Caenorhabditis elegans: one gene and its partners. The protein of the gene in region 1 purifies or fractionates together with the protein of each later gene. This does not show direct contact. Each region holds a gene or a part of one and is shown in the gene's direction. Other genes may lie near its edges.

The links. The genes of interacting proteins can lie anywhere in the genome.
Region 2: the proteins of szy-2 (region 1) and gsp-1 purify together in Caenorhabditis elegans (affinity purification with western blotting, with the first as the bait; one study listed by BioGRID). This does not show direct contact.
Region 3: the proteins of szy-2 (region 1) and gsp-2 purify together in Caenorhabditis elegans (affinity purification with western blotting, with the first as the bait; one study listed by BioGRID). This does not show direct contact.

The regions. Positions count from the first base shown.
Region 1 is NC_003281.10:5,368,464-5,373,240, reverse strand, and holds szy-2 (Protein phosphatase inhibitor 2), read left to right. Parts: upstream 1-1,964; 5' UTR 1,965-1,969; coding exon 1,970-2,191; intron 2,192-2,879; coding exon 2,880-3,032; intron 3,033-3,084; coding exon 3,085-3,151; intron 3,152-3,918; coding exon 3,919-4,058; 3' UTR 4,059-4,275; downstream 4,276-4,777.
Region 2 is NC_003283.11:10,680,464-10,687,009, forward strand, and holds gsp-1 (Serine/threonine-protein phosphatase PP1-alpha), read left to right. Parts: upstream 1-1,958; 5' UTR 1,959-2,065; coding exon 2,066-2,120; intron 2,121-2,450; coding exon 2,451-2,582; intron 2,583-2,841; coding exon 2,842-3,072; intron 3,073-3,782; coding exon 3,783-4,246; intron 4,247-5,278; coding exon 5,279-5,386; 3' UTR 5,387-6,042; downstream 6,043-6,546. UniProt on the Caenorhabditis elegans protein: Serine/threonine-protein phosphatase which antagonizes the function of air-2 in the regulation of chromosome cohesion. Dephosphorylates histone H3 at 'Ser-10'. Dephosphorylates translation initiation factor eIF2alpha.
Region 3 is NC_003281.10:7,334,622-7,339,269, forward strand, and holds gsp-2 (Serine/threonine-protein phosphatase PP1-beta), read left to right. Parts: upstream 1-1,965; 5' UTR 1,966-2,001; coding exon 2,002-2,053; intron 2,054-2,109; coding exon 2,110-2,241; intron 2,242-2,367; coding exon 2,368-2,598; intron 2,599-2,656; coding exon 2,657-2,871; intron 2,872-2,920; coding exon 2,921-3,034; intron 3,035-3,081; coding exon 3,082-3,216; intron 3,217-3,270; exon of another isoform or gene 3,271-3,381; intron 3,382-3,445; coding exon 3,446-3,568; 3' UTR 3,569-4,144; downstream 4,145-4,648. Other genes in the region: F56C9.10 (BCAS3 WD40 domain-containing protein), read right to left, coding at 377-496; kap-1 (Kinesin-associated protein), read left to right, coding at 4,380-4,449, 4,514-4,586. UniProt on the Caenorhabditis elegans protein: Serine/threonine-protein phosphatase essential for chromosomal dynamics during meiosis and mitosis. During meiosis, promotes chromosomal cohesion and germline immortality via a small RNA-mediated genome silencing pathway.

The DNA.
Region 1 (4,777 bases):
TAAATAATCAGAGATCAAAGAACATGATTATTATTATGATTGCTTTTTGTTCGGTTTTCCGAAAAAAAGAGAGAGAGAAAGAGGACAGGCGGCAAACCAAACAAGTTTACGTACAGTCCTGACTGTGTCAATACTCTTGGCTGGCGTCTCCCCTTGTGATGTCACTCACAAGTCAGTTGACCCTTCCGGAGTGTGTGGGGGATCTCTATCAGATTCTTCTGAGCTTTCTCTCGTTTTGTCAATTTTTTTCAGCTGCCTGCTGGCTTCGACGAAAAATGTTCTTCCCCCTATGGCCTTGCTTCTTTTTTCGCTTGAACGCTCTCTCAGAGAGCCCCACAGGCTGAGGAGAGGCGCCAATTGCATTATTGGCTCTTCGTTGGCTCTAGCCGCCTTAGACGGAGAATAAAATGCGGCCACCCAAGAGTTTTTTGGACTCGTTACTCTTCTTCCAACTTGTTTTCACTCATTCTATTCTTCCATTTGTCAAAAAAACATTTGTGCGTGAAGAATGTTTTCTTTAAGGTGACCTACCACTTTCGAGGCTCTAAATAGTCATATTATTAGTTAGAATATGACTGAAAATACGAAAAATTAGATTAAAAACACTTTGGTAGCCAATATATGGGCGGAGTCTCTTTTTGGAATTTTCTTGCCGTCGTGCCATTTCATTTCAAATTTGATTTTGATGTTTTTGAAATCTCAAACTGAAATTGCTAGTTCTAGGCTGCAATTATCTGAAATTACTCAATATATTTTGCTGAGCTTGAAAGTTTTGATAAATAATTGCTCCCAACCCACCCACTCACTATAATTGTTACTTTATATTTAAAAATTAGTTTAAATATTAAACTTATTGATGTCCTTTCTTGGACTCAATTTTTCTGAAGTGTCAGTTCTTCGCACCCTTATTTCTTTTTTTTTTCTTCAGAAATGTACTAGTACGTGCTTTAGAAATTTATAAAAGTAATCATTTACATAACTTTCAAATATTTTTTTGATGAATAAAATTAATTTTTAAGAACTTTAGTTCAAAAAATCATTAAAATGGTGTAATATTTCGACGAACCAGGCACTAGAAATTATTATTTTCTCTAAGACCTAGACTTACTTTTTTGCAGATTTAGAACATTTTGACCTGATTTTTTAATTTTGACCGAGAGAAAAATATTTTTTTAAAAATATATATGGTAGGGCTTCGATTTCTCTTTTTCATGCCACATTCAACATTTTTCAAATTATTTTTTTCTATTTTCGACATCATCTTTCGGTTTTTAACCAACCGGATAATATATCAAAAGCTGACCAAAAAGATAATTACGTTGTTGATCACCAACTACTGATCACTGAGGGAATATAAAATATATGAAAATACATAATTTGGTGATTCAATCATTCGAAGTTCTGATCATTTAGTGAAAAAAAGGTTTCTTTCGCAAATATTCGAGAGCTCAATGCTAAAAAAAAAGACGAAAAGTATGCAAAGTCATTAATCATGTAGGATCTACTAGCTTCTCTTGACTCTTTTCTCTGCAACAATCACATCTTTGTTCCGCGCAAAAAAGGCGAGTAGCCAGTTTTTTCGTTTCTAATTAATTTCCTTTTAGATTACAGCTCGCATGCTTTTACTTTTTCACCACGCTGTGTCTCTAGCTATTTCAGTCGTGTTTACGGGAATATATATGGAAAAGAATTATTGATGTATTTTAGATTATCCAATAGTTTAAGTGATGAGGAAAAAATAATCTACAAAGATAAATTAGCAAAAAAACATTTTATGTTTGATTTCGAAAATATTTGAAAAAAACATTCTTAAGTTTTTGAGAAACTTTAAAAACTTTTTATGACAAGTACCTCTAAATAGTAATTTGATAACTAACGTTTCAAAACGATTTCTTTTTGCTTTGCTTTTTTTACCTATTCACTTTTTCGAACCTAGTTAAAAAATAAATTCTCCATCTATTTTCAGAAAATGGCATCACCCTCCGCTTCTGCAGACGACGTCAAACTGACAGCCGATGGAAAGATTTGTCTTGATGATCCAGCCGAGTTTCTGAAAAGAAAGCCAAAGAAGAGTATTCTTAAGATGAAACAAGACTCATCGCTTGAGGGCAAAGATGGTCGTGCACATTTTGATGAAATGAATATTCTTGCCACTTATCATCCAACTGACAAGGATTATGGAAGCATGAAGGTTATTTTTTTTAGCATGTGCTTTCTTTTGTGGCTGCAAAAAATATTTCCTTCTTCCTCAAGAGGGACCCTTAAAAAAACAATTTGGATGAAATATGGGAATTTTTTGGGAAAAAAACGTCCTCGAAAAGTTTTTCAACTAAAAAATTGAAACAAAAAAAATGAAATTGGGAAAAATAACTTTGTTTTTTTACATCTAAACAAAATTTCCTTCAGAAAACTACCTTTTTATTAGTTTTTTAAACAAAAAACCGAACTTTTTTCATTGAAAAGGACTTTGAATAATAATGAACAAATATTGTTAAAAAACACCTCAAAACTGAAAATTATCGAAAATATATGATTTAAAAAACGTCTAATTTTTTTTTGTTGAAAATATAGTTAATTTTATTACAGCTTTTTTCCCAAAAAAAAGTTAATTCAAATGCGAATTCACACTAAAAAGTAATTATAGAATAAGCGAAATAAAAAGTTATTAAAAATTCAAGAGTTTTTAGAAAGTTACAATGAAAAATTATGAAAGGATTTTCCGACAGTCAATCATTTTGATTTTTTTTCTAGAATTATTAGCTTTTAACGTATTTTTCCCATGAACGTTTGTTTTAATTATTTGACTTTAAATTGTTTCAACATATTCAGATTGCTATTAAATTTTATTTTGCCATTTTCAAAAACTTTGAATTTTGCAGATTGATGAACCAAAGACCCCATATCATCATTCAGATGGTGAAAGTGAATGTGATGAAGGAGTACTTGGAGTACCAACAACTCGACCACGACGAGTATCACTCGGAAATGCCATTGACCCAGAAAAAGTGGCCGAAGGACTTGCTCATCCGGAGGTTTTAGAGCTCTTTATGTGTTCTCTCATTTATTTTTCATTTATTTTTCCAGAGTGGAAAATCACTTTCTTCCGCTGAAGATTCCGAGGACGAGGCTGATTTGACAGAGGAACAACGTGGTACGGAATTGAAAATTGAAGAAAAATACATTTTAGTTGAAATATTAAAAAAAAGTATATTAAAAATCAAAATTTATAAGAAATTCACAAAAATATTCTAAAAATTGTAAATTAAAAATCCTTTTAAAAACCGATTTTTATTATTTAAAGAAATTGTCTAGTAATTTCGAGCAAAAAATTTTGTGAAATTAAAAAAAAACTTATTTGGACAGCTTTTGTCTTCAAAGATTTTTAAAAAATAGTTATTTCTGATTAAAAAAATTATAAAGGAAAAATTCCAGAAAAATCAGTTTAATGATATAATACAGTTGAAAAATTGGTTTTTCTTAGAAATTTTTTTAAAAATTTTGTCAACAAAAAATTTAGAAAAATTGTTGAATTTTTTCAAAAATCTTATTTTTGAGTTTAAAAATGTTTAATTTGGAAACATAATCGAATTCTTTGAAAAAATCTAGATTTTATAAATATAAAAAGGTCAAATCTCAATATTATCATTTTTCAACATAATTTAAATTTTAAAAAATCGTTTTTTTCTCTAAACTGATCATAAAAATTGGCTCAGTTTTTTTTTAATCTAAAATCTTCCATTTACTAATGATATTATTTTCAAAATTTTTAAAAAATTATTTATTTTAGGAATGTAATCAATTTTGATGGGTTTCCTAGAAAAAAAACTAGATTCACTGAACATTTTGATATTTGTCATTTCAATTTTTTTTAAATCGAAGCGTACAAAATTTCCATAATTTAAAACACGACTCTTACAGCTCACCGTCGCGATTTCGAGAAGAAACGACGTGCTCATTATAACGAGGGAGCTGCTCTGAAGCATCATCCAGAACTCGAAGATGATGAAGAAGAAGCTACTGCTGCTGCTGCTGGTGCCGGTGGAAATATGGAACACTAGCAAATACATTAAATGCCGTGTGCAATCATATATTTTTGTTTTTCCTTTGAATTGCTCTCTTTCTCATTTTTTTCAAAGTTTCCACCAAAAAATCTGAATTCTTGTATAAAATCCTTTTCCCCCGTAAGCGAATTTATTTATTATTTGTTCTCTCAATTTCTCAATTTTCCCTACTATATTTTTCAAGTTTTCGAAATGAATATCGAATGATCCATGAGTTTTCTTACTATTAGATTTTGAAATTTTCAAAAATTGTCTAATTATATTTTGTCAGACGATTCTAATACTGAAAATTTTGAAAACAAAAATGTTTTTTACCCCGCTGCGAAATACTACGATTTGCGCTCTAAAAATACGTTACCCGGTCTCAAAGCGATCGATTTTCTTAAACGCAGAAAAGTGTGCGCCTTTAGTAGTACTGTAGTTTCCAAAAATGTGAAAATATTACACCTAATTTTGAAGAAATAGGAGAAAAGCTAGAAAAAATCGAAGAAAATCCCGCAACAACGAAAAGTTATCAACTACAGTACTCTCTTATGAATTCAGAAAAATCGATCGCTTCGAGATCGCTACATTGTTTTTGAAACAAAAATCGCAGAATATTGCATAATTAATAGTTTTTTTTTTCGAAATTGTTAATTCTATTTCTAATAATATTTGATGTAACACAGTCCAATATTTTCATCATTTTTGAGACACAAAAAGGTCAACATTAATTG
Region 2 (6,546 bases), on another chromosome or scaffold:
GAACAGTGTTTGCGGACTTTCAAAATAATTTTTGTCCTATTGCATTTTTTGAATGTTTTTCATCGCTTTTTTCGTTTATGAAACTGTTTATGTTACGAAATCAAGTAGTTTTATTCTTTTTTAAATAATTTTCGTTTGATATAACTATTTTCCGTAATGTCATAGAGGCTTAAGGTGATTTGAATGACTTCTTGGGGTATTTATTCCAGAATTTATTTATTTCGATTGAATAGAAAAGAAGTTGGTTTAAAATATGAATAACATGTGTTATCATTTAGTTTATATTGTTAACATTATATTAGTCATCGAAAAGTTTTACACCGCGCAATGAAAAGAAAAATAATTACGAAATTTTATGGCTCGTAAATAGTTCTTTTTGTAACATTTTGTTGGCAGAAACATACAATTTGTCATAATTTTATGCTTAATAATAAAAAATTGTTTATTAAGTGTTGTTTGAAAAAAGTCTGGAATGTCGTATATCTTTACCGCACAGGAAGTGTTTGCCTTTCTCAATCTTTTCTTTCTCGTCGTCGTTTCCTCTTTTCGAAACGTTCTGCGTGCAAATCAAATACTTGTACATCTCGTTTTGCCCATTTGTTCTAGAGAAGAGAAAGAAAGAGCACCTCAAGCTTCTCTAGCCGTTTTTTATTGTTGTTTTTTCTCACAAGAATAAGCGTTACCCTTTTCAAAAGATAACAGACTATGCGCAAAGTGTGATAAGAAAACCTTCTCGGAAGTTGTCGCCGTTTTTGATTCCATGACGTCTTACACGATGTCAGTAGTGTCGAACCAATATCGCACGTGCCACCGGAGGTAGTGCAATAACATTGCGAATTGTTTCGGCGAAAGAATGGAAACGACGGTGGCGAGTTATCGATCAATACTGCGGGCAGTGGCCGGTGGATCGGCGCGCGTTCGTCTCTCGCTCCACTCGTACACTCACACATAGGGACAGGCACATACACATGCGTCTCAGTCCGTCGTCACTTTTCGCTCCTCTTTTTATACGCGGCATTTCATCCCGATCTCCTCATTTTCCTCCACTATTGATGAACCTACTTTGCTTGACTACAGCCACACATGTTTCTCTTTGAAAGCTTCTGTTTTCTCTCTATCATATCTTCACCATTTCCTTTTTCTAGTGCTGTAAAGTTATCCGCCTGCTGTGACGACGGTGTCGTGTTTATGACATGTTCCTCCTCGGGGTCGTTGATAACGGCAAAGAGAAGGAACGGGCGTCGTCTCGTTACCGTTTTCCGATAAAACTATATAGGTGTATAACTTGAAATTGGCCAGAAAAAAAAAGAGTATTAGAGTAGCTTCGATTTGCCTCAAGGTGCATAAAGCGGTGATTCACGTTTCGAATTTGAGAGACGCAGGTGTTTAAGTGAATATGGTCTCAGTTTGCTCCCCAATTCTTTTTGTTGTCTTTTGCTACCACAGGACGAAGGAATTTCTCTTAGTACACCAACAAACTTTTTTCTTCAAGGCATCAGTTGCTCGTTTTCTATTTTCAATGTTTAGAAACAGTATAGCACAAATTTCACATAATTCAGTTTTTTTGTTTGTTTTCACGACACGCGTTTGTTGCCTTTTCAAATTCAAAATTTGCATATCGATTGTTAAAAACCATGTGTTCTTTCTTTCTCAAACATTTTAATATTGTGTCCATCACGTCATCGAGTTTCCGATTGAAACAAATCACTTTAAGGTTTTTATTCTTCAAAAATATAATCCAATCAGGAAATTTGAAAACTATATTATATTCGCATTACAATTTCTTGATAAAATTCTCATTTTTGCATTTTTCCTCTTGGAATTGTAATGATACGCATCACATCCTACTGCTGTTGTTTTTTGATGCTTTTTAAGCTTAGTCTTATCAATTTTCTCACGTTTTCCTTGAAGTTTTTTTTAAATTCTCACGCCAACGTTACTAATTTTTTATCTTTCAGCCACAACCAATATCAGTTGTCGGCCAAAAACATTGCAAGAACATACATCACTTGCCATCCATCAAAAGTGACCAACAGAAGCCGCGGAGATTGCAGCTGCAAAAACAATGTCGAACGATGGAGATTTAAACATTGACAATCTGATCACCAGACTTCTTGAAGGTGGGTTTTAAAGTTAATAGAGAAATTGATCTAATATCGACATTCGAACTAAACCAGCTGTATAGTTGTTCAGAAATTTTATTGAATTTTATTTGTTTGAAATTCCGACTAGAAATTCCAAATATTCTGGTTTTGAGGAATTTTGTTTAATATAGCAATTATCATTATTTATTATGGTTGGCAACTATTTATTTCAATAATTTCTGTCATTTTTCCACTTTCCGATTTTTACGGTCGTAAAAAATTTAATTAATATTTAAAATTTTACTAATTCTCTTTAAAGCTTATTTTAAGTGACTAATTTGATTTTTCAATAAAATTATTTTTCAGTTCGCGGATGTCGTCCAGGAAAGCCAGTTACCATGTCGGAGGCGGAGATCCGTGCTCTTTGTCATAAATCTCGTGAGATCTTCCTATCACAGCCAATTCTTCTGGAACTCGAAGCACCTCTCAAGATTTGTGGTGAGTTTTTTTATTATTCAAAAACCGTTTTTGTGTCTGCAATGTAAGAGACGACTAGAGAATATGGTCAATAGTCTTCGATTATTTATAAATTCTGTCTAAAAATTCAAAGATAGTTCAATTATTTAGTAAAAACATCACTGAACGTATGTGATTATTGGAAAAAAAGTCCGAATGTCATTGAAAAGTTTCGCAGCATACAATTTAGAATGTTAATTTCTCTAAAAGTTCAATATGAATGAGAAATATTTAATTTTAGGAGACATACATGGACAATATAACGACTTGCTCCGTTTATTCGAATACGGAGGATTCCCACCAGAGGCCAATTACTTGTTCCTCGGAGATTATGTCGATCGTGGAAAGCAGAGCTTGGAAACAATTTGCTTGTTGCTCGCATACAAAGTCAAATATCCAGAAAACTTTTTCCTTCTTCGTGGAAACCACGAATGTGCTTCAATTAACCGTATTTATGGATTCTACGATGAATGTAAGGTTTTTTTTTGCTTTAAAGAAAATTCGAAATATTAATTGAGATATTACGTGTCCATGATTTGATGAAAACTGCGGAGACGCCTGCGTCTCTCTTCTCCACACGCTCTCTCGCCATAGGCGTTTTGCATAGGCGTTAGATAGCATGCGAGAAAAAGAGACGCAGGTGCTTTTTGCGCTTAAGATATGGCGATTTTTCTCACCCGCACATGGATACGTAATAACAAATTATTCCAAAACAAAATATTCGCTTTTTTTTAAATTTTCATACGCCCGTTCACATCAAGTAGAAACTTTCTCCGGATGACAAAAAGATTCTTAATAACCATGCATCGGTTGTGTATATTTTAATTTATATTTCAACGAAAAATTCCATTAAATTCTGGGTTATTAAAATTTGTCCAGTTCAATCAGCAAATTTCGATAGTTAAAAAAGGAAAATTATGTCAATTATTTTTTCAAAATAACAGAATAATTACAATTTTCAATCAATGTAAAAATTTGGAGAACAATAGCTACTGAATTCTTTGAAAAAATCAGTATATTTTGAAGATTTTCTTATTTCTCTTTTTTTCAGATTCTTATACTCAAATTTTCATCAAATATCAAAAAAAAACGACCAGGTCCTCAAATTTTAATTTAATAATTTTTAGAAGTAAAAATTGCTGGAATTGTTATTGAAAAGTCTTTAAACCAAATAATTTTCAGGTAAGAGACGTTTTTCGATCAAATTGTGGAAAACTTTCACCGATTGCTTCAACTGTCTTCCAATTGCTGCACTCATTGATGAGAAGATCTTCTGCTGTCACGGAGGACTCTCCCCAGATCTCCAAAATATGGAACAAATTCGCCGTGTGATGCGACCAACCGATGTTCCTGATACTGGATTGTTGTGCGATTTGCTCTGGTCTGATCCAGACAAGGATGTTACCGGATGGGGAGAAAATGATAGAGGAGTCTCGTTCACATTTGGACCTGATGTCGTTGCAAAGTTTTTGAACAGACATGATTTGGATCTGATATGCAGAGCTCATCAGGTCGTCGAAGATGGATATGAGTTCTTTGCTAAGCGACAACTTGTCACACTATTCTCTGCTCCAAATTATTGTGGAGAATTCGATAACGCTGGTGGAATGATGAGCGTTGATGAGACATTAATGTGCAGTTTCCAGGTAAGAATATTTCTGTTATGTATTCGAAGGCCGAACAAGGAGAGAAGACGAGTAGTTTATTACATTACTAAACTAAGGAATAAATAAGTTAGTTCATAGAGTTCACGTTATACGATCTTCTTAGCCACGTCGTGGGTCAATACACGTTCCAACAATTTCATTCTTTTTCCAAATATTCCAGATCCCCGAAATGGAATAAATTCAAACAAGATGGAAAATCAGAAACCAATTTTCTAAATGTGTTTACAATTGATTTTTAAATTAGGGGTCGGGCATCCTTGGTCAAGAGGAACCGATTTCGAAAAATTGAAACCTCGTGAGATTGAAAATCGAATTTATGTAAAAGTTCCTGCTCTTCAAATTTAATTTTGGCTGGGAACTCATTGAACATTCGCATCACATCAAGAAATAATCTAGCATGAGATGAACCTTTTTAGAGAAAAACGGCACCGGCATATTTACAAATTCGTATTAAAATGATCGAGAAAATTAGAATGCTAGTGGCTGTGTATTTCACGTGAAAAAAACTATCAAATTCTTTAATTTTGAATATATTTCACAAAATCTCGTGAAATTTGTATCAAAAATCAATAATTTTTCGTAAATCTTAGAAATCTCAGGAACCGAAAATGAGCTGTATTAGTATTTCACCTTCCATCTTCTTTCTTTTCCATATCAAAATATGAGAGAAAAAGTACCATCAAACGGTACTTCTTTATTAAAATCCTACATTTCGGAAAAAATTTAAAATGTTTAAATATATAATGTTGATAATTGTTCAGTTAGTGACAATTTGTTCTTTTCCCGAAAAAACAATCTAACTCAAGTAGTTGCATCCCATGTTACGTCAAAACTCTTTTTCTTCCAATATCCTCTTGAACCTATCGGGAAATAATGACCAAACTGAACCATCAGTGATTATTAGATAATTTTATACTCAAAAAGCTTATAGAATTAATTTTGATCGGATAAGACTGAAATTGTTTTTTTTCAAATAAATTAGAAAAATTTGATTCATTATTTATTTTACAGATTCTGAAACCATCGGAGAAAAAAGCGAAATATCAGTATCAAGGAATGAACAGTGGACGACCAGCAGTGGGCGGAGGACGGCCTGGAACGACTGCTGGTAAGAAGTAAAGTGATGAGGAGAAAGAACATTTTTGCCTACATTTTTACTCATTTCTCTCGGATTTTTACTTTTCTGTCCGTTTTTTTTGAATTTCCCTTCTCTTTTATCTCAAACATTTTATTATTTTCTCGCCCTCAATACACCCCACCCCGCACAAAAACGAGTTTTAAATGCTCTTCATTATTATTTTCTTTTCTGATTTTCTATTTTTGTGCAACTGTACTCGATCGAATATAATTTAATTTTTCTGGCGAGTACAGATTGCAAATCTTTCTCTCTCTCCTTCTGTGTTCTCCATTTTTAGCTAAATTTTCTCATATATTTTTTTTCTGATTGCCTCTCTTTTTCCATTTGCTCTTATCCTGTTTTATTCTTAGTTGTGAGCCTAACACACCGGGATCAAAATCCTTCCGATTTAAAGTTGCAGCTTATTTATTCTTACAATGTTAATCACACAAACATTCTGAAAGTACGAGAGCGAATTCGTTCTTATTTTTTAGAATATTGAATTCTGATCCGCCCCAACAACACGCACACTGATAATTTTCTATGGTTTTTATTCGAAAATAGTGAATTTTTCTCGACAGCTCCCCCCGTTCCTTTTTCTCGCCCCCATTTCCTTCTTTCTTTCCTCCAACTGATTCCAATGAATATTTTTTCCAAAAGGTTTCTCTTGCGCAAGAACCAGTCACTCAAATTTTGTGTGTGTGTGTTTGGTCAAAGTATTTATAAAACACATACTGTCTTCAGGCAAAAAAATAATGGAAAAAGTATGAATCACATTGTTTGGAATGAGTACAAGAATAGAAATAAAATGTTCGTTGGATGGAAAAAGAATAAAGAGAAGGAATCCTGCCAAGGGAAACCAATTACTTCTGAAACATTAAATCAAGATCAGGGAAATTTAATATTTCAGAAATAACTGCAACACATAATCCTTTAAACTGGGCAATTATTTTTTAAAAATTCTATTTGGTAGTTTTCAGAATGGATTTCGTCGCCAAAATAATGTTATTTATAAACCATTCGACTCAATAATACGATACCTGGACCCGGCACGACTGTAATATTTTTTAATGATTTCTGTGAAAAGCAGTGTGCGTCTTTCAAGAGTACAGTAGTTTACACTTCTGACTGCTGCACAATGTTTTCAATTTTTCGCTTTATT
Region 3 (4,648 bases), 2.0 Mb from region 1:
ACGACTCGTTGCTACGGAATTTTTTATCGAATTTGTAAGAAAAACTATAAAAAATTTATGTAAACTCCACACATCGAAAGTTTGGAATTACAGTACTATTTAAAGGCTCACATTCAACAAAAACTTGTCGTGTCCAGACCCAGTACCGTTTTTTGGCACGAATTTTCGCGTCTGGGTAGTACTATAAGAAAAACATTCGTTAGCGTTCCGAATCTATTAAGATTTTATCTATCTTTGAAAATAATTGCATAGTTTCGATGTTTGCAGCGCTTTAGAAAACGGAAAAATCCGTTAAACGGTTTTTTAAAGGAGATTTTTTGAAATTCGATTTTTTTAACTTTTAGTTTTGAAAAATCATTATGAAGTAACACTTTACCGGCTGTTCCTCTTCTGGTAGCGGTTGTGGCTGTGTTTGTTGATGTTGCTGTTGAGGGCGTTGATGATTCTTCTTGTTCTTCTTTTTCGGGCCCCCAACAGAGTTCGCGTTTGGCGGCATCTTCTTCGAACTGTGCAGATTATCGATTTGTTCAGAAAATGTGGTGAAGAACAGAACACAAACAGGAACAGATAGGATAGAACGAATGAGAAGAGAGGACAACAAAAAAAAGAGAAAAAATAATCAATAGGAAGATGTGAGAAGATAAAACAACAGAGATTTTGTTTTTCTCAAACTTTCAGGTAGATCAACGATCTATGAGTGTCTGATCCGACAAAGGTGCATTGTTACCAGTGACAGAAAAGCGGCAGAAGAATCGAAATCATGCCCTTCTCTTTCTCTCTTTTCACTTCTCACGTGTGCTAGACATGACATGGGGAGAAAACGACAGAAACTGCAGTTGGTCACGAGGGACTAGAGGGAACAGGCGACGCAGAGAAATGGAGGGAGTTGTGAGGAGGATGGAGAAGAAGGCTTCCATGAGCACCACACTTCTCGCATCTTTTTTGCTGATTTTTCTCACTCCAACTATTTTTCTTTTTTCTTATTTCTTATTGAACTTGACTAGACATCAATCGATTTTTTTAAATGCTCACTGCTCATTTTCTAACTAATGCTTCAATATATTTTCTGAACGAATTCATGGATGCAGAAGTACCAAAGTGTTCATATATTTCTAGCTAAATAATATATAACTTTTGAGTACTATAATAATCTCATATTTCAAAATGATTCATAAGTAAAAGTTTTATCAAAATATGCTAAATAAACTTCTTATAACTACGTTTTCATCTATTAAACTTTCACTTAATAAGATTTAATGCATCTTGTTCCCCATGTTTTTGCATCTGATCATAATTGCTGACAAATCGTGAACGAAGAACAGTGTATTTGTTATATTTACACATTTCAATCTCTCACCACCAACCAATTTCTCTGCCATCTTGGTCGAAAACAAAGTGACGAATTGGCGCATCATTCGATTATATGTGCCCCGTTTTTGACAAATAGTGAAAATTTCAGGGAAAAGAGAAACTTTAAGCTTTATCTTCTAAATAATGGTAGAAATATTTTCCTCAATGTAAAATTCAACTTTCAAAGCCCTCTAACCAAGTTAATCCTTTTCGCGCGCTCTTTTTCAATTCAATACTAATGAAGTTCTGAAAATTTGAACGTCCCCTTTTTTTTAATTTTAACAAGAAGAAAAAATGTAGAAAAACAGATTCAAAATCATTAAATTAGCGGATAAATTCAGAAAAAATGAGAACATGTAAAAGCGCTCCACCGGCCACCGTACCCTGCTGAATGCGGCATTTTCGCGGCGAGACCCGCCACTCTTTTCATTCGTTTTGACCCTGTCGCCTCCAAATATCTTTCGATTTTTGACATGTTTGCTGCTGTTTTTATCAACTTTTCGAGTAATCACGCGATTTAAAGACGTAATTATCAAACTTTCTTTCTAAATTTTCCGTATTTTCACGTTTGTTGATTGACATTATCTCAAAGAGGTAATTCTATTCGTATTGCAGATCTAATTGGGTTGTTTGAGCGATTTCTCGCAACAAATGGACGTAGAAAAGCTTAATCTGGACAATATCATCTCCAGATTATTGGAAGGTATGTGTTTGTCATAGTGTTTATTGAAATTAATCTTAAAATGATTTCCGCTTCAGTCAGAGGATCCAAACCAGGGAAAAATGTTCAACTCACAGAGAGCGAGATCAAGGGGTTGTGCCAGAAGTCTCGTGAAATTTTTCTGAGCCAACCTATTCTTCTCGAGTTGGAAGCTCCGTTGAAAATTTGCGGTAAGTTCTATCGAAAAAAGTTGACGTTTCCTGCTATGAGTCATTTTACTTATTAGTATTTCCTTCCACAGGAAATTGCCGTTTTTATTTTTGATAATATATATTCTGAGAAAATATATTTTTCAGGTGACGTGCACGGACAATACTACGATCTTTTGAGACTGTTCGAGTATGGTGGATTCCCCCCAGAGTCGAACTACTTGTTCCTCGGCGATTATGTGGACCGAGGGAAACAATCGTTGGAAACTATCTGTCTCCTACTTGCATATAAAATCAAGTACCCGGAAAATTTCTTCCTGCTCCGAGGAAACCACGAGTGTGCCTCGATCAACAGAATTTATGGCTTCTATGACGAGTGTAAGAGTTTGATCTGAGATTATCTTAGTACAGATTTATTCAAATCTCATGTTTTTAGGCAAGCGGCGATACAACATCAAACTGTGGAAGACGTTCACCGATTGCTTTAACTGCCTGCCAGTTGCCGCCATCATCGACGAAAAGATCTTCTGCTGTCACGGAGGACTTTCTCCAGATCTTCAGTCTATGGAGCAAATTCGTCGTATCATGAGGCCGACAGACGTACCAGATCAAGGATTGTTGTGCGATCTGTTGTGGTCAGATCCTGATAAAGTTCGTTTGTGAACATAAAATTCAATGAATGATTACCATTTATTTTCAGGATGTCACTGGCTGGGGAGAAAACGACCGAGGCGTCTCTTTCACTTTCGGACCAGAAGTTGTTGCCAAATTCCTGCACAAGCACGATTTGGATTTGATTTGCAGAGCTCACCAGGTATTACTTAAGATTTTCTGCAAAGTTGCGAACCGAGAAATTTTCAGGTTGTGGAAGACGGTTACGAATTCTTCGCTAAGCGGCAGTTGGTTACATTGTTCAGCGCTCCTAATTATTGTGGAGAGTTTGATAACGCGGGATCGATGATGACTGTCGATGAAACACTGATGTGCTCTTTCCAGGTAAACATAGCGGTACCATCTATATAATTTTAAATACTGATAATGCGTATGCATTCACCAATGATGCAATGGTTAAATCAGACGAGTCTATTTTGGCTATCTATTCGAGTTCTTCGAAGAAATTGCCGCTAAGCGGGGTGAAATTGAGGCATTTGTCTGAGGTGATTTATTAAACGCTAAAACTACCTATCAAACATTAAAATAAAACAATTCGGAATATTTTTTTCAGATCTTGAAACCAGCAGACAAGAAGAAATATCCATATGGTGCTGGAGGAGTTGGTTCAAATAGACCAGTCACCCCACCACGAAACGCACCGGCTGCGCAACCAAAGAAGGGTGCCAAGAAGTAATCATCAGTCGATTTATCTATCATCTGTAAATACCTAACCTTTTCTTTGTTGTTCACGCCCCAAGAGGCCTCGGCCATCTCTCGTAAATCGGCTTCAAAAAGTTGTGTACATTAATTTTGATTTTAAACATAGTTTCGAAAAAGTTTAAATTCGATTCATTATGATCTAGGCTGGCACGAGAAGATGCTGTGGTCCCGGCGAATCTCCTCTCAATTCAAGCTTTCGTTGTCAACATCCCTTCCTCTTTATCTCTGTGGACCATTTAGAGCTAATGACTCCTCACCAATTGCTGGCTCAATTTTTCATCAAAACAATCCCCATTTTATTCGTTTTTAAATTCCAAATTTTAATTTTTTTTGCTAAACTTATCTCTTAAAACAGTATCAAATTTTACTTCTCTAAATGGTCTAAATATTTAAAACAAATGTTTATGATGTCAATCAATCTCCACTCCTTTCCTTCCTCCATTCATTCGTCCATCCCGTACTCTTCGTTTCTCAATTTTATATTGTTAAAACCCCCATTTGTCGATTTAATTCATTAAAGTTTTCCGAACAAATAAAATAGAACACTGGTACAAGCGTGTAAGCAATATTTCTTATTACAACGAGTGCAACGTCTCCAAGGAGAGCGTGCGAGACGAACAGACATCCCCCACGACTAGTGCTCCTCGAGCCGTCTCATCGATTTCTGTCGTTTGTCAGTTATTCAGAAATGCTCCGCCCCGGCTCTTCAGTAAGCTATAATAGGTAATCAGAATGAAGAGAAATATTTTTTGAGTTTTTTCGATTGATTTTCCGTGTTTAGCTCAATGAATCAAGTTTCAATAGATGCACACCCGTCAGATCAGGCAATTATTGTACGATTTGAACAATCTCCTAGTAAGTTTTATATTTTTATTTTCAATTGAATGTGTTACGAAGATTATTTGGAAGTTTGATTCAGGTTCTTCAGCAGGAATTTCAATAAAAAAGCGAGCTTCTTCAGCGAACGTTGAGTCTCTTGGCCATCAAAAAATGTAAGAATCTGATATAAAATATAAAATTAAACTGGAATGCAAATCTGCTTAACAAGAAAAAT